Linked DNA regions of Drosophila melanogaster. The protein of the gene in region 2 interacts with the protein of the main gene of each other region in a pairwise test. Each region holds a gene or a part of one and is shown on either strand. Other genes may lie near its edges. The genes, in order: CG13494, CG5021 and CG14042.

What was found.
Region 1: the proteins of CG5021 (region 2) and CG13494 interact in a two-hybrid assay, tested with the Drosophila melanogaster proteins (one large-scale study listed by BioGRID).
Region 3: the proteins of CG5021 (region 2) and CG14042 interact in a two-hybrid assay, tested with the Drosophila melanogaster proteins (one large-scale study listed by BioGRID).

Annotation. Positions count from the first base shown.
Region 1 is NT_033778.4:21,951,686-21,958,167, forward strand, and holds CG13494 (uncharacterized protein), read right to left. Parts: upstream 3,161-6,482; 5' UTR 3,088-3,160; coding exon 2,725-3,087; 3' UTR 2,557-2,724; downstream 1-2,556. Other genes in the region: CG13488 (uncharacterized protein), read left to right, coding at 1-85, 159-719; CG43405 (uncharacterized protein), read right to left, coding at 1,998-2,267.
Region 2 is NT_037436.4:8,963,253-8,970,458, reverse strand, and holds CG5021 (uncharacterized protein), read right to left. Parts: upstream 3,631-7,206; 5' UTR 3,491-3,630; coding exon 3,467-3,490; intron 3,332-3,466; coding exon 3,249-3,331; intron 3,178-3,248; coding exon 2,943-3,177; intron 2,894-2,942; coding exon 2,564-2,893; 3' UTR 2,288-2,563; downstream 1-2,287. Other genes in the region: CG5026 (uncharacterized protein), read right to left, coding at 36-511, 574-961, 1,032-1,282, 1,386-1,544; CG5653 (uncharacterized protein), read left to right, coding at 4,097-5,527; ValRS-m (Valyl-tRNA synthetase, mitochondrial), read left to right, coding at 5,833-5,926, 5,995-7,206.
Region 3 is NT_033779.5:5,034,430-5,043,517, forward strand, and holds CG14042 (uncharacterized protein), read left to right. Parts: upstream 1-3,279; 5' UTR 3,280-3,692; coding exon 3,693-4,328; 3' UTR 4,329-4,681; coding exon of another isoform or gene 4,682-5,311; intron 5,312-5,379; coding exon of another isoform or gene 5,380-5,631; 3' UTR 5,632-5,690; coding exon of another isoform or gene 5,691-5,747; 3' UTR 5,748-6,389; downstream 6,390-9,088. Other genes in the region: Col4a1 (collagen type IV alpha 1), read left to right, coding at 1-552, 635-1,779, 2,048-2,308; SP555, read left to right, coding at 4,682-5,311, 5,380-5,598, 5,691-5,747; CG31650 (uncharacterized protein), read right to left, coding at 6,453-7,110, 7,260-7,407, 8,062-8,284.

The DNA.
Region 1 (6,482 bases), on a different chromosome or scaffold from region 2:
CATCGTTAAATTAAAACATACAACTGTACATTTAAAATCAGAACAAAAGCTTTACAGCAATAAATCATCCAACATGTGTAGCTTGGTTAATTAACATTTTATAACACTCAATTCATACTAACTATGGCTTGAATATAAATGCTTTCATATTATTCCAGCTGACCCCTTCTTTGATCAATACCTATGGAGATCGAAGTCGCTATCGGTTGTATTTGCAATCAGATTACGCTCTGCAAACAATCAGCACTCAGCTAGTTTCCCAGGCAATCGAGCTGGTGGACTATGTGGTGGAAGATCTGATCGTCTTGGACTCGCAGAACTCCATTCTGTTGGGCTACTTGGATCGCTTCGATGCCTTCACTGCCGTAAATGCGAATAAAACGGAGCAGAAGCTAAATGCCTTCTATGGCGTGATTGAGGACTATCTAGATTCGGATACCACGGGAGATCCACTGAGAACTTCCAGTATCGAGACCCAGTTGATTGCGCTTTGCTTGCAGCGCAACGGATTCGATCGATGGAAGCGCACGGTTCAGACCCGGACATCCCAGCTTCAGAAGCTGATATACCGGAAGTTGAGGAAGCACCTGGAGTCCATAGACAGGGAGGATCGTTTGGCTGTGGAGCGCAGGTGGAGGAAAATCTTGACTCGTGGCGGACCCCGAAGATTGGAGAAGCTGAGGGAATTCGTCAAATGGCTGGGAAATTTCAGAGATTAGAGTGCGGCGGCCCGGGTGAACGAATTGTTAGGCAATACGATATGCCGTTTAGTGATAAGAAGAGTTATAAACATTATTTATGGGTGGGTGGAGCAAGAGAATGTTTGTGGTTTAAATATAACCGGCCATGACCTTGAGGTATTATCAATGAAAGCAATATAAGAACGAAGTTTGAATTTGCATTAAGAATGTATTTTAGTAATATTTATTATTGCTATGTTAAGCAGTTCCTTGGCTAGAAAGTGGATGTTCTTTATAAAAGAAAACGTATTCATAGCATTTGTAAATTGAACATGTACCAACGCCTGGCAGTAAGAAAGTGCATCGAAGCTATTATCCTTTTGTGTCCTTGCACTTACTCCCCCTCGATAAATGCAATTTTAGCACAGCACGTCCCCTTCCTCATCACTCGGATCATGTATGAGGGCATTGTTTAATGCACTTCACAGCTGGAGGAAACTTTTTCCAGGCCCTGTGTCGACGGCAATGAAAACTTTGTCATGCCTGGCAAAGAGGATGATAAACTTGGGTAAAAATTATGAAACTGAATATGGAAGCGTTGGCGAAATTGAGACAGCAAAACAACAGAGCCAACAGACAGGCAAAAGACATACGAGACTTTTAGCCAAGCGAGGACTAAAACTGAAACTAAAACTGATACTTTTTATGGATGGCAAGTGAAAAATGTAGACAGTTGCAGAACGACTTTCCGGGCGGGGGCCAAAGGCAGGAGGTGAACGGGATTTGCTGGGATGAAAGAAAAATGGCAACTGCATTTCCTGTCTGAGAGCTGACAAAGTGCTGAGTGCATTTACGACTTGGACTTGGGCGAGTGTTTTGTGTCTTTCCTGCAGCTGCAGGAGATGCCAGGAATTTATGCACTCAGTCCATAGTCCACAGTCCGCAGAGAAAGCTCTGGAAATTCCTGACCTGAGGCATTTTCTGTAGGGCCTGGGCTATTTTCTTTGGGCCATCTGATAATCGGCCCCAGCTGTGGCTAATCGGTTTACATTTGTCACACTGGCACTTTGGCCAAGGATTCTCTACTGGTAGATGCCACTTGTCCAGGAATCTGGTAAGTCCTGACGTTTCTCCTTAGAATTATGTTTGGTTAATGTTATATTGAACTTCAGTACATCCTTTTCCAATTACTCTGCCGTAATTTGGCAGGACCGCATTAATTTGTCGGCAAAATAATTCCTTTGGACTTCGATTCATACAAAACATATAATTTTATTAGCACAAGTTTCAGTTTTAATGACAGAATTTCAACGACAGTCAGGGTTCCCTTCCTATAAACTCGTCGCCTCGGCGTCTACAGCGAAAACAGAGAAAGGACTTCATACAACCAAAAAGGACGAGAACACCCATACAAGCACAGCAGGCAGCAATGATAAGAAAAATTACGACGAATATGAACAAAAGTCCCCAAGCACCTAGGTTAGTATCCGGGTGTCCAGTGGTTGTACGGTACGCCACAGTTGTCATGTTAAAGTCTATATATTCAATATCGTATTCAGATAGGGTTGTAGCATCCAACTCGGCCATAGCTTATGGGAAATAAATTGCAAATTTTGTTGCTTTCGATAATAGATTGAACCCTCTAAATGGAAGGAAATATGTATAAGGAAAATCACATTAAATTAACGAATGCTTCTCACCGTTCCTTGCATAGCAGCTTAAGAATTTCGATGACCCTGACCCTTCAGAAATTTTATTTTGGGTATAGATTTTTTTTTAATTTTAAGAGTACAGTCGCAGCTTACTGAAGTCGATATTTTTTTGTACTTTAAATTTGATTTTTGGTTGCCATATATTAAGTTAATAGATATCATTTCAAAATTAAGCTAGATTTTTTTATTTTTTATGAATAGACAACAATTTTGCCAATGAGCATACGGATGCTCCTAACGAATCTGTACCTGAGCACATTAAATTTATAGGCTTTCGAATCGCATATCCTAGCACTACGTACATATTAATAGAAACTTGAATTATCGCCGAATTAATCATCGTCCAAGGTGCAGTCCCCACAGCCGTCGCCACAATCGCCACACCCGCCGCCATCGCCGCAACATCCACCGCCGTCATCGCCGCAACATCCACCGCCGCCGCCTTCACCACAACATCCTTCGTCGCAAGCGAGGCACGCGGAGCAGGCGAGTCCGCAACAGCCGCACAGGCAGAGGAGCGGCAGGCAGATGATGAGCAGGCAGCAGAGGAGCACCATAACAACGATCAGGACAATAATACCGACAGCCATGCTACCCGCCTTGGCGGCCTCTGTAGTGGTGGTGGTGGCGATCGTGGTGCTCCATGAGGATGTTTCCGTCATCCCGCCTTCTACCGTTGATAATGTGTCATCCATGATTAATCACTTGTTGACGGTATTGAAATGTTTAACGTTTAGCTTATTGTAAATTAGAATAAATTACAAAAATTCAGACAGCAAAGTTGAGTGTGTATTCAAAGACTCCTTCAGCACAATTTTCATATGTGCCCACTTTCAATTTAGCATCATATTTGGTTTTAAATATATTCAAGTTCCCCATCTACGAAAGACAAAAGCAAAGAAGCTTATGGGCATAGGTGCATTCGTCACGCTTCCACACGAAGCGACTTCTAACGATCAATCGCACTTAAAATCCTTTCCACAAAAGTACTCATTAAACCCACGAACACACCACCCGTCATACAATGCCCATTCGAATTGTATAATAATTAATGAAATGCATTAACGAAAGCATTTTGCGGGTGGAACTGGGATTGGGTTGGCAGAGAGGGGTGGTCCTCGAACGGGGATCTGGGGAGCTGTCCCTGAGCTCCTGTGTGTACCTGCGCTCGTTAGCGCTCCAAACACCCACTCTGCGAAACACCCCCACTTTAACTCATATGCAAAAAACACACCCTCGCCTCACGCCATCATTATCATAATTTGAATGTGATGCGAGCTTTAAAATATTCATGCGAGTAGAAAGATTTTTTTCAAGTGTGCGCACGTGTGCGCCTGGGTTCGTTATAGGGAGCTGTTTACTGTACCAAGAGGTCGTTGATTATAATGACTGTATTTTGTGCGCTGATTACTCCACAGAGAAAATTAAGAAAATGAGTCAACAACTTAATGCAAAAAACAAAAGGAAGCTCTTCGATAAACAGCGAAATGAATATATATTTTTTCAGATATCTATCTGTTTCGTGCATAATAAATATAAACTGCGTTGGACTTCAACCATAATTAAACACTGAACATTGTGTTAAGTAACTAAAGGTTGATCAAACAACTCCTGATAATATACTCACCGGGAAAGTAAAAATCCACTTCTCGTTCTGAATCACAAATCAGTGATTGCAATTGGGAACTATTAGACACGTTTGTCGGCCAATTGGCGGTGGCAGCATTGAAAGCTCATTCAATTCACTGCCTCACACTGACACCCACACTCAGACATGCATTCACCCACACCTGCAAACTCACTCACACACACACACACATACACACCTTTAACATATAGCATCATGGCACACGTGGCTGCATGTCAAAGTGCAAAGTTTTGTGCCACAAAAAACAAGCTGCGAGGGGTGGCAATGTGGGTAATGGCAGTCAAAAGCGCCGCTTGTCGATGTTTTCTGAAAAAAGAAGGAATGAAATCGTAGGGGAAAGCAGAAAAAAGTTACGTTTTTCACGGCGTTGTTGCTGGCAACCCTTTTAGCTCTGGCAATTTAAACTCGCCCGCTCCAAAGTTGCCCACTTGCCATATCCTGTCGCAGGCGTTGTCCTTGTTGTTGCTGCGGTTGGTGCCTCCGTGTAGTTGCCGCATCCCTCGAACGGCTGAGGATCCTCAGGGGGTTAAGAGCTTTTGGCTGCGGGCTGAGGGGTAACTGCGTGGCATGCAATGCGCGATTGCACAAAGTCAACTTGCACATTAGAATTCGACGAAGGATGAGTTGCAGGGCAACGCGTTGAAAGGCGGAAGGACTAGGCTCATCTGTCTGCGATTCCATCTCGGGGTAAAACTGAATACTAAACAGGCGTCTTCACTACACTAAATATATTTTCAGAAACTATTTAAATCTAAGAAATGGATTTATAGCAAGTTAAGGCTATCTTTCCACTTGAATAGATGCGAATGTAAAGAAAATCATCTTCCGGCAAATATGACTTCCTAGTCGAAAAGTCCCAAATGGTCAGATATCCGTCCCCAATGAAAATCGTACGCAGCTGAATTTATGTGTATTCCCAACCAATCATCATCATCATCAGGAACAAACGCAATGGCAATGATCATGTTCGTATCCTGCCATCATCGCATTCATTGGCACTCAACGGGGGCAGCGAATCGCAATCGTAAACTTGATTGTAATAGTATAATTTTTGGCGTAAAAGCCAAACAAATAAACAAGACAAGCACTTGGATTCCCGGCGTATCCCATCCGGCAGATAATCCCCGCACATATGAGTCGGTGGATGAGGCGGCCGAATTTGCCGGCCCCATTTTCATGCAATTTTTATGACTTGGCTCTGTGCGCTGTTCTTTATTTTTTTTTTTGGGGGGGGGGGGCGAATCGAGAGCATCTTACTCATAATCCGCCCCAATGGACCTTTCTCTGCAGGTCTGCAAAACCATTTACTTTTCCCCGGCCAGAAGCTTGGATTTCCCTCGATTTCTCTTATTTTTGCCCTGCTTACCACGTCACGCATCCTGCGAAAAGTTATTGTTATCCTTTTGTTTTAGTGCGCATCTTTTATACTCGTTTCATTTTTTTCTCCTGTTCTTATTGCCTTGGCCGGCCCTTTCGCATTGATTCATAATACATAAATATAAATATTGCGTATACGCAGCGTTTCGCTCGCCCTCGATTGCCATAAATTCTTATAAGTGTGGCAGAAACTCACTCACACATACAGGCACACACTATGGGCAAGCCCAGCGCCAAAGTCATCAATCTTTTAGCATTTCACTTAGATAAAGCAAACTTGTACTCCCTTTCCCTAGTCCCAATATTTGTGCATAAATATTAATATTGCATGACCATTTTTATTTGTTTGCCGGCCAGACAGGATCTTGGACTTTCTAGAGTACTGAAATCGATAAGCTGACGCTACTGACCCAGGATTCACTGAATATTAATGTTGTAGAATTAACATTAGAGTTCAAATTGGTAAACCTGGCTAGTTCCTACTAAAGTCCTTCGTCTGCTGACTACAATGTATTGCTGGCATGCGAAGGGCTACAATTGACTTAATTTTCCTTTTTCCTTTGCTAACTCGAAATGATTGGTTTTTTCGCGGGCCAACTCTGGCCAATAAATTCGCCCTGATTTATGTGGTTAAATAATTAGCGCCTTTTAGGAGCTATTAAATGGATTCCAAACAACGCCCATCAATCGGCCATTCCCCATTTGCTTGGCAATCGAACGACGGCGGTAATAAATTGAATGCTCCAATATTTTGGCACGGGGCCCATTGAATTTAAATATGTGCAATTACATTTAAATGTTTGGTCATGTGTGGATTTCGATTTCGGATCAAATAGCTGAGTAGGAGGTGTCTGCGAAAGTATCTTTGCCTTCGAAATGCGGCTCTGTCTGCCCGCACATGCCAATAAATTTCGAGTCACAAAGTGTCAACGCGACCGAGCCCTCCGATTTGCATATATTCGAATGTATCCCCTCTTTTCACTGTACTGCAGGCCCTTCCTTTGCGCTACTTACAACAATATTATAATGGAATCCCACTTGAAAATAGAGCAATATCCACTTGCA
Region 2 (7,206 bases):
ATCTTTTTCAAGGTAAGGAGAATATGATTACTTACCCCCTTACAGTCCGGCAGTCCGGATTGAGAATGATCTGCACCAGTGAGGTGACTATAAGCGTGGAGTCCAACCCCTTAGCACCGTGCACTAACACTGGACTTCCCTCTTGGTCCAGGCATTGGGCCACCACACAGGAGGCGTTCAGTGAGTTCAGCACAAGACTAAGCCAGCCGCTGTTCTCCAGTCGCGATAGCCATTTATCAGTACTGCATCCCAAATCGTTGCAAGCTTCGATAAGCCGAGCAAAGCTGTCCAAAATAGAGGCGGGCGAACTGACGTTTCCAATTGAACGATTTACCTTCTTCCACTGCGAGTAGTGCAGGTCAGTTTCCGTATTCGATTTGCCCTTACCCCAAGTGTCCACGATGAACCCCTTCCGACTGCGACCCAGCACCAGATTAAGGATAGCCTCGTCAGCTCTACAGCGCTTGATGCCCTGAATGGACAGCGGCTGGGAGCTGCGCATTAGTGTGGCCTGCAAATATGAATCATTGAATTAATTTAATAAAATTTGATGATGTAGATGCAATGACTTACGCCATTTTCATGCCTGTAGCTGAGCACGGGGAAGCGGCCGCCATCGCGGAACGCAGCGGAGAGCACTATCTGCTCGTCCGTAATTGCTTTAGGTACAATTAGCGTGGCGCCATATGTGGCACAGACGCTGAAGTCTCTGTTGACGTTGGTGATGCGCCACTCGCAGGAGGCCTGGGGACTTTGAAGCGCACCACCTCCCACACCACCAACACCACACGCAAGGGCTTCTATCGCATAGCCATTTTGCAGAGGATGGGGAATGCCGGCGCCCACAGTCAACGTCGATGTCGAAGTTGATGGCATGCAAATTGTTATGTTGGCCACATTCGGCGAGGACGCACCGCCCATGCCAACCCCGCTTATGAGTTTGGCGAACTCCAGCTCGGGCCTGTCGTTTGGATGGGGAGGTTAATTGAATTGTAGCCAATTTGTTAGTTATGGAGAAGCCGTGTACCCACCTAAACATCGTGTAGCCGTCCTCTAGGATCGAGTACATGGGCCGGTAGAAGAATGGATAGAGCAGTTCGGTGTTCTGGATGGCACTGAGTGCCTCCAGCGATGCGGCCACGTTGAAGAACTCCTTGCCGCACTTTATCTCCAACGAAATGATGCGCAGGTCCTTGCACTTCAGGGTGATAATCCCACCGACCACGATATTCTGCGACAAACTAGGCTTCTTCTCCACACAGTCGATGTTCTTGTGGAGCAACTGAAAAGAGGGGGATGAGCATGATGAATTTCTAATTCAATTATGAGCGCTCCACTGATGCCGAAGCACATCGGATTAGGTGGGCAGGCCTCAACCCACTTACCCATAGCTCCTGGCTGGTTTCCTGGCGGGCGCTGAGCAGCAAATGGTGCCCTGTGATGCACAGTGTGCCAACTGTTGCACCCGACGCCCCCGCATTCGATGGGTCGTGCAGCAGGACACCGTCCAGCTTGGGGGTCTTTATAAGGTCGGCGAATTCCATGGTGTCGCCCTCGGCGGGGTGTCCGATTTGATTTGGCCCCCACTAATTAACTTTTTGCATTTTGCCCCGGCTATCTCCTGTTGCCACTTGATTGCTTCTGTCGACGCCGCCTTCCACCTCCGCCCTTCTTCGCCACGGTTATCCCGCCTTTCGAGTCCCCTTTTTTGAACCCACAGCAGTGCGTACGTCACCGGTTCTGGCGGGGATTTGGCGGACTTACGGCACTGCTGCTCTGCAGCTAACAATGAAACTCGTTCCGGGCTGCAAAAACTTTTGTTCCACGCCCCCGCTTACGGCACAGATTGCATTTCTTTCTTTCTTTTCGATTCCGTTTCCGACCGACTGTTCTGTTTTGTGCTTTGTGCCAGTGTGCCCGTCGCTCACTGAGCCGGAAAGCTTTGTTGTGGCGTCCACTACCACACTGCGTTTTGCCTATGAACCGTTATTGCCACTAACAAAGAACTAAAAAATTATCAGGTTTTTTAATATGTAAAAATATTTTTAAATTGTTTTGCAATTTCATTTAGTTTAGTTTTGCAGGAATGATTATATTTACGCTTCATTTTTAAATATATGTTTACGACAGTTTCATATATGAAACTAAAATGACAAAAAAGAAAATAAACTAAATAATTTATAGTAATCTAACAGTAATGAAAATTATTTGCTTCACGTCTTTCGTACTCAGATTAAGATGCAGAGAATAAAAATAAAACACATTTCGCTATATCTGAATCCCTTTTAATAACTATTCTTAAATTTGTAGTTAAACCATTCGAAATAAAACCATGTGGCATACTGGTTGCATGTCACACGCACATGCGGTCCTTTAATCCGAGTAAAAGTAAGAAATGATTATGGTAGATTGCAGTATGGCTAAATTAAGTTTTACATATGGTACACAGACAGCGATGCCAATCGAAGGTCGTGGTCCGCGCCAGAAGAAGCGTCGAATACTCTTTGGAATGCGCTGCAGCAGACGGTGGCAAGGTGACTTAGTAGATGGCGTCTCCACCAGCTCAAACGACTCCCGTCGGGCGTACATTTGTTGGCGGTGGGGCGCCACTGGGCCTTGTCATGATGTCCACGGCATTCTTGAAGAACTGCGTTTTCACAAAGTCTGTGGCGGCGGAATTCAGATCCTTATTGGCACCATAGTTACACTTGACGTAGCCATACAGATTGGCGGCATTCAGCGCAATGGCGATCATTACCAGCAGTAGCCATTTGAACTTCAGGCCGAATAGGGCGAACAGGAAGAAGAGGCCCCAGAAGACGGGACAGAGGATGAGTCCCAGCCAGAAGATGCGCTGCTCGTTCTTGTTGACCCGACTCTGGTAGGATTCAGACTGCGTTTCATTATCAAGGGCAATCTAGTTAGCTATGCTCGTGACTCACGTTCTTTGACTCAAACACCCAGTGCGATACGCCATCGTCGTCGACGTAGTTCCACCAGCGGAGACCGACCAGCAATCTGCCCGAGATGTTCTTCACCGTCCAGAAGTCGGCGGACAGGAAGAGCACCACGAAAACGAAGCTGGTGATGAAGGAGTCGCTGAACCAACCGCAGAACATATAGATCAGGATGGCGGCGCCCCTGAAGAACAGGTGGAAGAAGGTGACGTACGGGTGCCTGTGGAGTACACGCGTTGGGTTGGGTTGGGGTAAATGGAATTGATCAACAAACATTATGGTTCTGCATACGTGTATTTCTGACCCGCGCGACTGGGATCCCGCATCTCGTCCTCCTCGCCAAAGGGTATCGTGTCATCGTCGAGCAGCGGCACCTGTGTAACACGTATGTGGGATTAGTTTGGCTTGCCTCGTTGTAAAATATGAGTTTTCGTGGAAAACCTCGGATCGTATTGTCAGAATGGCACCCCAATCAAGCAGCTTGTTAGGTGTTAGTGCGGCATACATACATTTCTTACCGTAGCGGATGCCATGCTGGTGTAGGGAGTGACTTCTAATTCCTAGTTGGGTGCAATTTTCATGGATTTTCGTGGTTTTTCAGGGGATTTAATATATTTTCTTCGCCTGGGACGTTGTTGTTGTTTCTGCCTGCGTAGCCTTCTATCGTTTTCGCACTGAGTCGATAGCTCGCAGGGGTGAAGCACTTCTTCGACTTCGATTGGGTTGGCAGCACCATAAGTAATCGAGCTTAAACCTATCGTATTTGAAAATTTTGCAAACATTTTTTATTGAGCTCCCCTTCATTTTGTTTGTGGAATTGTTATTTGCAATAGCAGCGCCAAATGAGAAAAAAATGCCACTTTTAAGTTATTTATGAAACATAATTTTTTACGCATCATATTAAGTAATAAAAGCCGAAGCAATATTATCTAAGACGACTTTTATGTTCTGTGACCCGGATTCTCAATGTTACATGGTTGTGGCTGAAAACCAGCAGAGTGTGCAAAAAGTTGTACTCCAACCGCAGTGGAAGCCATTGAAATGCAGCATCCATCACTTGCCAAGTTAGCCCACAAACTTCATCAGTAGCTCGTTGATCGTCTGCTCTTTCTGTCGAACTTAACTACCAACGTTTCAAAATGGAAAAATGCCGTGCCTCCTCTAGGATAATCATAATCGGAGCAGGAGTTTCGGGCATAGCCGCCGCCACTCGACTCCTGCAAAACAATTTCCAGAATGTTCAGATCCTGGAGGCGGAGGATCGCATTGGCGGGCGGATCAACACCGTGTATTTTGGTGACAACGTCATCGATTTGGGAGCCCAGTGGTGTCATGGAAAGCAGCAAAATTGTGTATACGACATGGTCAAGGATATGGGTATCCTGCACGAGACAGGCGACTATTACAGTCCCATAAAGAGGGTGAGATCCAACAAGGAGGTGGTTCCACATGAGTTGGCCTGCAGGATTCACGACATTGCTGTGAAGAGCATGCCGAGTGGACCTCACCCGGTTGTGGGATCCTTTGGCACCCACCTGACTCAGACCTTCTGGCGCAAGATCGAGTCCGAGCTACCCCAAGTGAATAGGGATGTGGCTAGTGAGGCCTTGAATACATTTGCGAAGCATGAAAGCTCTATTATTGGTGCGGACAATCTTTTCGAGGTCTCCGTTAGGGAACACATCGAGTACCACGAATGTGATGGCGACAAGCTGCTCCACTGGGGAACGAAGGGTTACCGGCGCTTCCTGCGGCTGCTGATGAAGGTCAGCGCGGATACGCCAGAAGAGCTGGGTCTACTGGAAGGACGTATTCAACTTGATATGAAGGTCATCAAGATTGAGTTGGCGTGCCCCCGTAAGGTAATCCTGCGCTGCCAGGATGGGGATTACTTCGAGGCGGACCACGTCATCTGCACCGTTTCCCTGGGAGTCCTGCAGGAGCAGCACGAGAAACTGTTCGTCCCGCCGCTGCCCGCAGCCAAGGTGAATGCCATTCGCAGCCTCACCCTGGGCACTGTGAACAAACTGTATTTGGAGTATGAGAAGCAACCTCTTCCTGACGGCTGGGTGGGTTTCTTCTGCTTTTGGCTGGAAGAGGATCTGATAGAGCTGCGAAAGACGGAATATTTCTGGGTGGAGGGTATAACCGGTGTACACATGATCACTTGTCAGCCCCGAATGTTGATGGCCTGGGTGAATGGTCCGCATGGACGCCACATGGAGACCCTGTCCGATGAGAAAGTCCTTGAGGGCTTGTACTGGCTTTTCCGAAAGTTCCTCACTTTCGAAATTCCGCCGCCAAAGCGTTTCGTTCGCAGCTCGTGGTTTTCGAATCCGAATTTCCGTGGCAGTTGGAGTTATCGTGGAGTTATGGCCGATGAAAGGAATACGGGCCCCTGGGATCTAGAGTCTCCTGTGTTGGGCGAAGATGGTCATTTAGGCCTCCTTTTTGCCGGAGAAGCGTCTAGCAGGAATCACTTTTCCACCGTTCACGGAGCTGTGGAGGCGGGCTATCGGGAGGCAGACCGGCTCATTGATCATTACACCTCATGCAGTGTCAGTGCCTGAAAAATATATTTTTTTATCGTACTTTTCTTTATGGTTTCTTAATAAAATTGTTCTCTTTTATAAATTAAAAAAAATTACATTGGATCCTGATATTCACATACGTACCCTCTGAGATGTTTTATGTTTCTCTTTTGACAAATCAAATAAATAATGAAGTTTGAAAAAAAATTGAGGAGGAAAGCTCTACCGTTTCTCGTTTGAAATTGGCGCCCATAAGCCGTATATCGATTATCTCCTCAGCTGTTTTTATACCATCACCAATAAGATTACAATTTTTTTTGACATAACATAACACAACATTAAAAATGCAAATAATTGGGAATTGTAGCAGTAAACTGCTCAGACACAAGTACCTGTGCCAGCCAAGGGTGTACTCTCTATACTACAGTACCCTTAAAGGTGCGTTACCTCCAGTTTCATTCAAAACCCCAGTGCCGGCTAAAGAACTCACTTTTTTCCACTTTTAGATGCGGCTAATGAGCTTCCCTTGGCAGCAGGATACCAGCCACAACCAGTGGAAAATGCTTACTGGGAGCGGGAGCATCGCCAGGCAAATTTGCCCAAGGCTTCAGCCAGCAGTTGCAAGCGGGGGACCTATCGCATGCTTCTACCGCCACCAAATGTAACCGGGAATCTACATTTGGGCCATGCACTGATGGCCACCGTGCAGGATGTGATTGCCCGCCAGCGCGAACAGCTTGGCTACCAGGTGGACTGGGTACCAGGCACAGATCACGCGGGTATCGCCACCCAGGTGGTCGTAGAGCGCACGATTGCCGCTTCTCAGGCGAAAACCCGTCATGAATTGGGACGTTCTGCTTTTCTGGACGAAGTATGGCGCTGGAAGGCGGAAAAGGGTGCTGGTATCGTACAGGATCTCCGCCAACTCGGCTGTAAACTGAATTGGCAACGAGAATACTTCACAATGGATGAGCAGCAGGCGCATGCGGTCAACGTAGCTTTCGAGCGACTCTTTGAAGAAGGCCTAATTCAGCGGCGCAACTCGGTTGTCAACTGGTGCACCGCTCTACGTTCCGCGATATCTGATATCGAGGTGGACAGTGTAGAGATCACGGAGCCGGTAGAGATATCCGTTCCAGGCTACGATCACAAAGTACTCTTTGGCAGAATGTACGATTTCGCCTATCACGTAGTGGATGGTGAAGCACTGCCCGATGGTTCGGTTGAAGAGATTGTGGTGTCTACCACTAGACCAGAGACAATTTTGGGTGATGTAGCTGTCGCAGTACATCCGCTGGATCCGCGCTACGCCAAGTACCGAAACATTGATCAGGTTAAGCTCAAGCATCCTTTCCGTGACGACACCATTCCACTCGTTTTCGATATCACCGTGGACCAGGAGTTTGGCACCGGGGCAGTGAAAATCACACCAGCCCATGACAAATTTGATTTCGAGCTGGCCACTCGCCATAAGCTTGAACCTCGCCAGGTCTTTACTGAAACGGGTCTTGTGGTGGATGCCTATTCTGAGTACAAGGGTATTCCGCGCTTCGAGGCGCGAGATCTCATCGTCAATCGCCTGGAAGAGATGGATTTGCTGCGACAGGTGCGCTCTCATACCATGCAGTTGCCCATCTGCTCGCGTTCCAAGGACGTCATAGAGTACATGATATTGCCGCAATGGTTTCTTAAGTGCAAAGACTTGGCAAAGGATGCCT
Region 3 (9,088 bases), on a different chromosome or scaffold from region 2:
AAGGTCTGCAGGGCGTTTGGGGCCAGCCTGGCGAGAAGGGATCTGTCGGCGCACCTGGTATTCCTGGTGCTCCCGGAATGGATGGTTTGCCCGGCGCTGCTGGTGCTCCTGGTGCTGTTGGCTATCCTGGTGATCGCGGTGACAAGGGAGAGCCTGGTCTATCTGGTCTGCCCGGACTCAAGGGTGAGACTGGACCCGTTGGACTGCAGGGCTTCACCGGTGCTCCTGGCCCTAAGGGTGAGCGCGGTATTCGTGGTCAGCCCGGTCTTCCGGCCACCGTTCCCGACATCCGTGGTGATAAGGGATCCCAGGGCGAGCGCGGCTACACTGGCGAGAAGGGCGAGCAAGGCGAACGAGGCTTGACTGGTCCTGCTGGCGTCGCTGGAGCAAAGGGAGATCGCGGATTGCAGGGACCACCAGGTGCAAGCGGATTGAACGGCATTCCCGGAGCCAAGGGAGACATTGGTCCAAGAGGCGAGATCGGTTATCCAGGAGTTACCATTAAGGGCGAGAAGGGTCTGCCCGGTCGCCCAGGCAGAAACGGACGTCAAGGTGAGTTTGTGATCCCATATTTGTATTTACACAATTGGTTCATATAACCATGTCACCAATCAACGTTATTTAACCCATTCAGGTCTTATTGGAGCACCCGGCTTAATTGGAGAACGTGGTCTGCCTGGCTTGGCCGGAGAGCCCGGCCTCGTGGGCCTGCCTGGACCCATTGGACCAGCTGGCAGCAAGGGAGAGCGTGGTCTCGCCGGCAGTCCCGGACAACCAGGACAGGATGGCTTCCCCGGCGCACCTGGATTGAAGGGAGATACTGGACCGCAGGGCTTTAAGGGCGAACGTGGTCTGAATGGCTTCGAGGGACAAAAGGGAGACAAGGGTGACCGAGGACTCCAAGGACCGTCTGGACTGCCCGGCTTGGTTGGACAGAAGGGAGATACCGGCTACCCTGGCTTAAATGGAAACGATGGACCTGTCGGAGCTCCTGGCGAGCGCGGCTTCACCGGGCCCAAGGGACGCGATGGACGCGACGGAACACCAGGTCTGCCTGGACAGAAGGGTGAACCAGGAATGCTGCCACCACCAGGACCCAAGGGCGAACCTGGTCAGCCGGGACGCAATGGACCTAAGGGAGAGCCCGGACGTCCGGGAGAGCGTGGCTTGATTGGCATCCAGGGTGAGCGTGGCGAAAAGGGTGAGCGCGGCCTGATCGGTGAGACTGGTAACGTGGGACGACCCGGACCCAAGGGAGATCGCGGAGAGCCAGGCGAGAGGGGATATGAGGGCGCCATTGGTTTGATCGGCCAGAAGGGTGAGCCCGGTGCTCCAGCCCCCGCTGCTCTGGACTATCTCACCGGTATCCTGATTACGCGACACAGTCAATCGGAAACGGTGCCCGCTTGCTCGGCTGGACACACGGAACTGTGGACGGGTTACTCCCTGTTGTACGTCGATGGCAATGACTATGCCCACAACCAGGACCTTGGATCCCCCGGATCCTGTGTGCCACGCTTCTCAACGCTGCCCGTACTGTCGTGTGGTCAGAATAACGTCTGCAACTACGCCTCCAGAAATGACAAGACCTTCTGGCTGACAACCAACGCCGCCATTCCGATGATGCCCGTTGAAAACATCGAGATCCGCCAGTACATCTCACGTTGCGTCGTTTGTGAGGCGCCGGCTAATGTGATCGCCGTGCACAGTCAAACGATAGAGGTGCCCGACTGTCCGAATGGCTGGGAGGGTCTCTGGATTGGCTACAGTTTCCTCATGGTGAGTATCGGAACACTTATAACGTTAGATTATAGAAGAATGATGAGAGTTTTCAAAATCCACAAGGGATGCGTTTCCGAAGTTTCCCTAGCTTTCCAGCAGATGGCGCACGTTCCAACGACACTCTTGCGCCATCTGTTGGATACTGCGTAGCGAAAGATTTGATACAATAGTTTTAATTTTCAACCTTTATTCCTAACTACTTGTGGGATTTTAAATAGTTCTTTTATAATGATGCTAATATTAACCCAACCATTTCCTATAATAGCACACTGCCGTGGGCAACGGTGGCGGTGGACAGGCGCTGCAATCGCCTGGCTCCTGTTTGGAGGACTTCCGTGCAACGCCCTTCATCGAGTGCAACGGCGCCAAGGGCACGTGCCACTTCTATGAGACGATGACAAGCTTCTGGATGTACAACCTGGAGTCCTCACAGCCGTTCGAGAGGCCACAGCAGCAGACGATCAAGGCCGGCGAGCGGCAGTCGCATGTGTCCAGGTGCCAGGTGTGCATGAAGAACTCCTCGTAGGACCTCCAATCCCAACACAGACACACCCACAGCACAGAGCATAAGTTTAATCTAAATGTAAAGCCTTAAAATTACCAACGAATCGTGTGCACACCCACACGATCACAACACAAACACAAACAAACAAACCAACACACACACACACATACATACACCGACGAACCAACACTGCTACAAATTCCTTAATCTAACCAAAAAGAAAAAAAAACGGATCCACAAGTCGAAGTGCTAATTACCGACCGACCTGGACCACAATGCCATTTTTTATCTGCCAATTAATGTTCTAAACAAATGTAAACTGCTTCTAAGTTACGTTACGTATGTTAAGTAAATGAAACAAATAAATAAACTAGCCTCGGTCGTATGTCCAAAAGTATAAAATAAACTATGTGCCAGCATGTTCCATTTATTTTTGAAACCGATTAAATGCGAAACAATGCAACAAAACGCGGTATCGAACGAATATCGAACGAATCGAATCCTCAACTGCTATACAAAACTTGTCGCATATCGTTTTAAAATAAACTAAAATTTATAAATACAAATTACGACCACAATTTCATACAAGCCTATTTAGAGCAAATATTGTTGAGGATAAAAAATCGTATGCCCTTCAGTGATAAACTTCCTGCAAGACAAATACTGCATACTTTTTACCCCTAACATTGAGTGATAAGATCTTCCTCAAAAGACCAGGGCTAAGGGTAGGCTATTGTGGTGGAAACCCCGTCGCGGAGAACCCTTAAAAAAGCAATGCCAAGCCAAGGATGAGAGCGAACTCACCTCGTGCACTTGTGCGCATGCCATTGCCTCTCTTTGTGCGGATTTGCGGTGGGGGAGGGGGTTGGTTAGCTGTCAAGGGGGTGGCGATGACGATTGGGGTCGCCGTGGACGGTTTGCGGGGCATAAAGTGGGGTGGACCGAGCCATATGATAATGATATGCAGACACACACACGCGCACAAAGTCCAATTGGTGGTTGGAAGCAGGTCGTGGAAAATAAGGGTAGGCCTTTGTGGGGCGATTCAAGTTGGAATCGTAAAAGTGAGTTGGAAAAAAAGTGCCAGAAGCCAGTGTGACTTGGACGCAAGCGGAGGCGGTCGTCGGTGGGAGTTGTAACTTCAGCCAGATAAGAGGAGCTGCTTTTTGTAGGTGTGGAGGAGCAGCAAGACGGAAAAAATGTGTGTACCTCGAAAAAAAAAACAGTGAAAATTGCGAGCTCTCGTTTGGAAAGCAGCGTGAAATTTGCATAAACTAACAAGACCACAAAGCCAACGGGAAGTGCACCACCAAAATCAGAGACTCCCAAGAAGCAGCAGTCTTCCGCCCCACCAAAAAAAAAAAAAAAAAAAAGGAAGAGGACACACCACCACCCCTACATATTTATGATTATCGTCCTGCTGCTGCTGTTCCAATCGCTGTGCCTCTACTGCCAACGCCTGGTGCTCTACGTCCACGACCGATGCTTCCCGAGGAACGTGCGCCTGCTGCAGGAGGTGGCCGAAACGGTGGGCGATCGTAAGGCGCCACAGCGCCTGGCGGAGCAGCAGCTGGAGCAACAGAAGCGCAGCCAGAAGCGTCGCATCCTCGAACCAATCCTTCCGCTCGTTGGTGGCCTCAATTCCGAGGCCTGTCGATTTTGTGCTCACAGTCCGCAGGGCTACTGTCGCCATCACTTCCATCTGCAGGAGCTGCAGCTGCACAGGCAGAGGGGTTCCGGTGGTGAGCAGGATTTCCGGCAGATTCGCCGAATCAAGCGGGAGCTAAAGCGGACTCTTGGCCAGCAGCAGCAGCAACTGCAACCGACGAGAAGCTATCGTCCAGTCCGACTGAGTGCCAGCTGGAGCAGCAGTTCCCTGAGCAGTGGTTACGCTTCACTGACCAGCGTTGGATCGCAGGAGCAGGAGGAGGCGTCCTTCGATCAGGATATTATTGAGGACGTTCCACTGGAGGAGGAAGCGGAGCTGCAGGACCTGCCGCAGGAGGATATCCAACAGCCCCTACTAACCACTTACTTGTAGATAAACGCCTCTTGGTCTCATCCTTGCATAAAGAATCATCCACTTGGAGTTCGTCTGGAGAACTGAAGAACCCTTCATAAAAACTATGCTATAAAGATGTATTGAAAAAAATTGTATAACATAGTTAACCACCAGAGAAACGAAAGAACAAACAACTACGAGCTAAAGACGCCACCCCTGAAGCCGCTCCTTGAACGATTTCAACAACTTTTGAGACCTGGAGAAGCTCATCAACCCCAGGAAGCCAACCCTATTGAAAACTTAACCCCCCCCCCCCCTCCCAACAGTTCGAAGGGTTCCCTTTGTCAAATTGATACAAATTGAGAAGCGAAAAAATTTCTAGTCGCAACACAATGTCTGATGTTGAAGTGGATCCACAGCAGGCTCACCCCCATCCCATAGCGGCAATTGCCCCGAGGAGACGTCGTCCAACCGGTCGACGAGGAGGAGTAACAGGAGGGTTGTCGTCCGGTTCACTGGATGCATCATCTTCCACATCGCCGCCACCCCGTTTCTGTCCGCTGCCCAATGGCGTTGAGGATAACTGGACGTGGAGCAAGCGGCACCGCTCCAAGGAAGTGGTGCTCAGAGGACCCAACTCGCGGACCGTGCACTTCCATCCCAACTGGAGCAAGGGCACTGCCGGTGTCCAGGGCAAAAGATCCCTGAATAACGGACGGCATTACTGGGAGCTTCATGTCTCGCAGCGCGTCTTTGGCACCTCGATAATGTTCGGTATCGGTACCAAGTCGGCACGGCTACATGCCAACGCCTTCCGGAACATGCTGGGCGAGAACGAACACGGCTGGGGACTGTCCCACAAGGGCGTGCTCTGGCACGAGGGCGTGGCCCTGCTGTACACGAAGCGGTTCCGCGAGAATCAACCCACCCAAATTGGCGTTCTCTTCGATGGCATTGAGGGCACACTCACCTTCTACAAGGATGGCAAGTGCCTGGGCGTTGCTTTCCGCGGATTGGATCAGGTGAGTCCGGTTGAATTGTTCAATCCTCCAAGGATCAGGCTCTAGAATCTCGCCTAACTGCCCAACAGATTGATGAGCCCCTGTACCCCATCGTATGCTCTACTGCCGCCAAAACGGAGATGACCCTAAAGTGCACCAGGAGGGAGTTCGTCAACCTACAGGATCGCTGTCGGGCGGTGATCATGCGCCGCGTACGAAGCGCTGCGCAGCTGGAGAAGCTGAAGCTGCCGCTGCCCATCGCCGACTATCTGAGCGAGGTGATCGACGAGAAGAAGCCACTGCGTCAGGTAGACAACTACGATATACTGTGTGATTTGTAGAGCTCGGATCGTGTCCGGTCAACGTAAGCTAAGTTTATAGAGTACGTCCTCGCCCCCAGGTGAATCAGCTGGAGATGTGCATTATGAATTACGATTTGTATGAGGCCCGTGAATGATTTTAGTGCCATCACATATTGGAGTGCCCAATGACTACCAGACGATGCAGTGGCTCCTCTGGGACGTGTGCATTTCTCGTAGTAGCTTTAGAGCGTGCTAAGTTTAAGCATTCGGAATTTGTGTGGATAATAGTCGTCCGACCTTTTGATTTGTCTTCATTTGTAGCGAAAATGTGGGAAAATAGGCCAATTTGGTGCAATATTTGTGATATAAGAAATGAGAAAAACGTTTTTCGGGGCTTCAAGTGCTTGCTAGAAAATCGCAAAATAATCTAGAGCTAAGCATATTTTTCGGTACAGACGAGTGTGAAATCTAGTCAAAAAGAACACGCTGCTAAACTAATTTTGTAAATTCGCAGACAGCAATTAAGGCCTAAGTACTGTAATGTAACAAAATGAAAATGTGTCTAGTCATAAATTGCATATAAAGCAAAGTGTAATTTAGTAAAAATTATTTAGTACGCTTTATGTAGATTTTTGTTTCTGTTTATATAAATTACTACACATAATGTAATTGATACATGACGAAACAAACGAAATAGTATTGAAAATTAAATTCGTAAGAAGTGCTCAAAAGAATTTGGCGATATTGATTTGCAATTGTCACTTGAATTTACATAAATAAACATAAATTTACTAACTATTTAAACGAAATACAATACTAAGCACAGGTTCACTATAGCACGATGGGGCTTTGAATGGCATCTAGAGCTCGTCGGAGAGATGGTTAATGTTTTGTAAATGGTCGCCGTAGTCGGTGGCCTCACTGCCCACAAAGGTATCGTAGTTGTTGAGTATTTCCAGGTAGGACAGGCGATCGTCGTGATCCTCATCGGTGGAGACAAAGAGATGGTCCACCTCGTCGTTGGCAATTGCCGTATTGCTTGGCACAATCCAGGATAAGACCTCATCGCCCGTCAGCACGCCATCGCCATTGGAGTCGTGATCCTTGTCGAAGCGCTCCTTCTCCGTGATCAGCCACTCCTTGTCGTGGTGCGAGGCTGCGTCGCCGACAAACTCCTGGAAGTTGATCTTGCCATCGTGATCCGCATCTTTGTCCTGCATCGTGTGCTCCAGCAGTATTGGCAACATTTGTGGATGCTCCTCGGGATTTTGGAATAAAACGAATTCCTCCAGCGTCAGCACACCATCCTTGTTCGTGTCGGCCGCATTGAACATCTCCTTGTCCTGCTTGATCATCTTCTGCTCATCCTCGTAGCTGTCGTAGTCGATGGTCTCCTTCTTGAAGTCCTCATCCTCCATGGCGTATGTGTCCTGGAGATACTCCTTCCACGTAATTCTCTCGTCCGCATCCTGGTCTATTTCTTCAAATCGATCAGCGGCTTCTTCCTCCGACAGTTTTCTGCAAGTTGTATTATGTATTTTAGTAAAAGCTTCAAATAGTCTATGCGTTTTCAGTTTAGGCAAGCATTTAGACAAAGCATTAGGTTGCTGAGGTGATTATTGGCTTGGCTAACATTGATGCAGTATTAATCAACAGACAACACTCACTTAAAGGACCTTAATATCCAGGCTTTCAACTCATGCCGGTCAATAAATTCGTCCTTATTCAGATCCATCATTTTGATCAATATCAACAGTCGTCGCTTCGATTCGTCTGGCGAAAGTGAGTCGAATTCCTGAGCCTCTTTCGTGTTGCCTTTTTTGTGGTTAAAGAGTAATAATAGCACACACATACATTAGCATTTAAAACTGAATGGAACATAAAACAGCAGCAATGCCATTGACGTATTGCTTTTAGAAAACAATTTTAATGATTTCACTATAAAACTATACAAACTTATATACTTCAATAATACATTTTCTTACAGCATATTCCAATTCATTAGTAAACTATATTTCGACCTTCAAGCAATATTTTTGAGCATAAATGGGTATGTGTATTGACTGATCCGTATTCTCTTGATGCTTGAATGAGTCTTTCCGTGTGCAGACCCACAAAAATAAACCTCAGGCAAGTAAACAAACATATGGCATACACCATAGCATACACAAAAAAAAAGTATGAGTCCTTTTCATAACTAAAATAATACAAAATTATGGTCAATACTCATAATTTCATTGGGTTGGAAAGTATCCTTAAAATAAACTTTTATATTTCTACAAATTAACAACTGAAACTGGAAATTCTATTGTTGTTCTGGCAAAAAAACGTGATTATATTTTATTTGCTTTTCAGGAAATGAGCACTACTTTTATGACCTTCATTGTAAGGAGTCTTTTTCGCTCTTTTCAAAGTGATTTTCTCAAACTGAATATGATCTGCTTTCTCTGCTAACTAGCGCTGACTCACCGATGATGGCCTCGTGATCGAACTCCACGTTGTGCTCCCCATCCTCGCCGTGGTGGTGGGCATCCCGGGGAGCGTAGATGCCGTCCTTGACCCGCTCCTTGCTAAGGTGCTTCTCGTGCTTGTGACTGTTGGCCACCGCCCCATGGGCGGGCATGGGACCCACGGCGGCCAGCAAGGCGACGGCACAGAGGGTCAGCGGGAGGAGCGGCAGATTCCTAGGCATTTTAATTGATTATGCCAAGCGGCGTGTTCTTTGGTCTTTGTTTTCTCTTTTTTTTTGGCAGCTTCCCGAGTTCTCGAGTGGATGGGGGGGATGATGTTCCGGCGGAGGAGGGAGACCGGATGGACGCACACGTAATGCCCAACAGCACAATGAACTCAGTTCACCTTTCGCCTGCTTCTGAAATATGCAAATGTCAGTAAAAAACCGACAACAAAAAAAAACTATTTTTTGAATTTTAAATAATCACCGACAGCTGTTGTCTTCGCTTGCCTTGCCAATATTTCGCTGACCACAACTGTTTACCTAACCACACAGCCCTTCAGTCACACGTGCATATTATGGGCATGGAAATTAATTTATTTACCTATACATATTAATACATGTTCACATAAAAATTCGTTTATTTATTTGCGTACACCAAAGAAACGAAAATGCAGACAATGTGACCGTCAGCGAAAAATAAATGTTAGCCCATCGATTTTTGGGTTTAGCATCTGTGCAGCCCTGGTGTTTCCACGCCCTACCAACACTGCCCACCTTGCTGTTAACTTTACAGCAGTGTTTGCTACGCGCCAGCCCTGACTTACATTACGAGGAATAAAAGAAAATAAATTGCACAAATTGGCGAAAAGCGCATTATTGCTAAACTAAAGCCTCGTTAATTTAGCAGGTGAGCTCTTAAAGAGAAAAACACCAACACAGTGCTGTGCAGGTTAAAAGCAACAAGGAAAAAAGCTGAAAACATCTAAAAAAAAAGTGGGCGAACGAAGTTGATTAAATTCAAATGACATCATTTTGCGACAG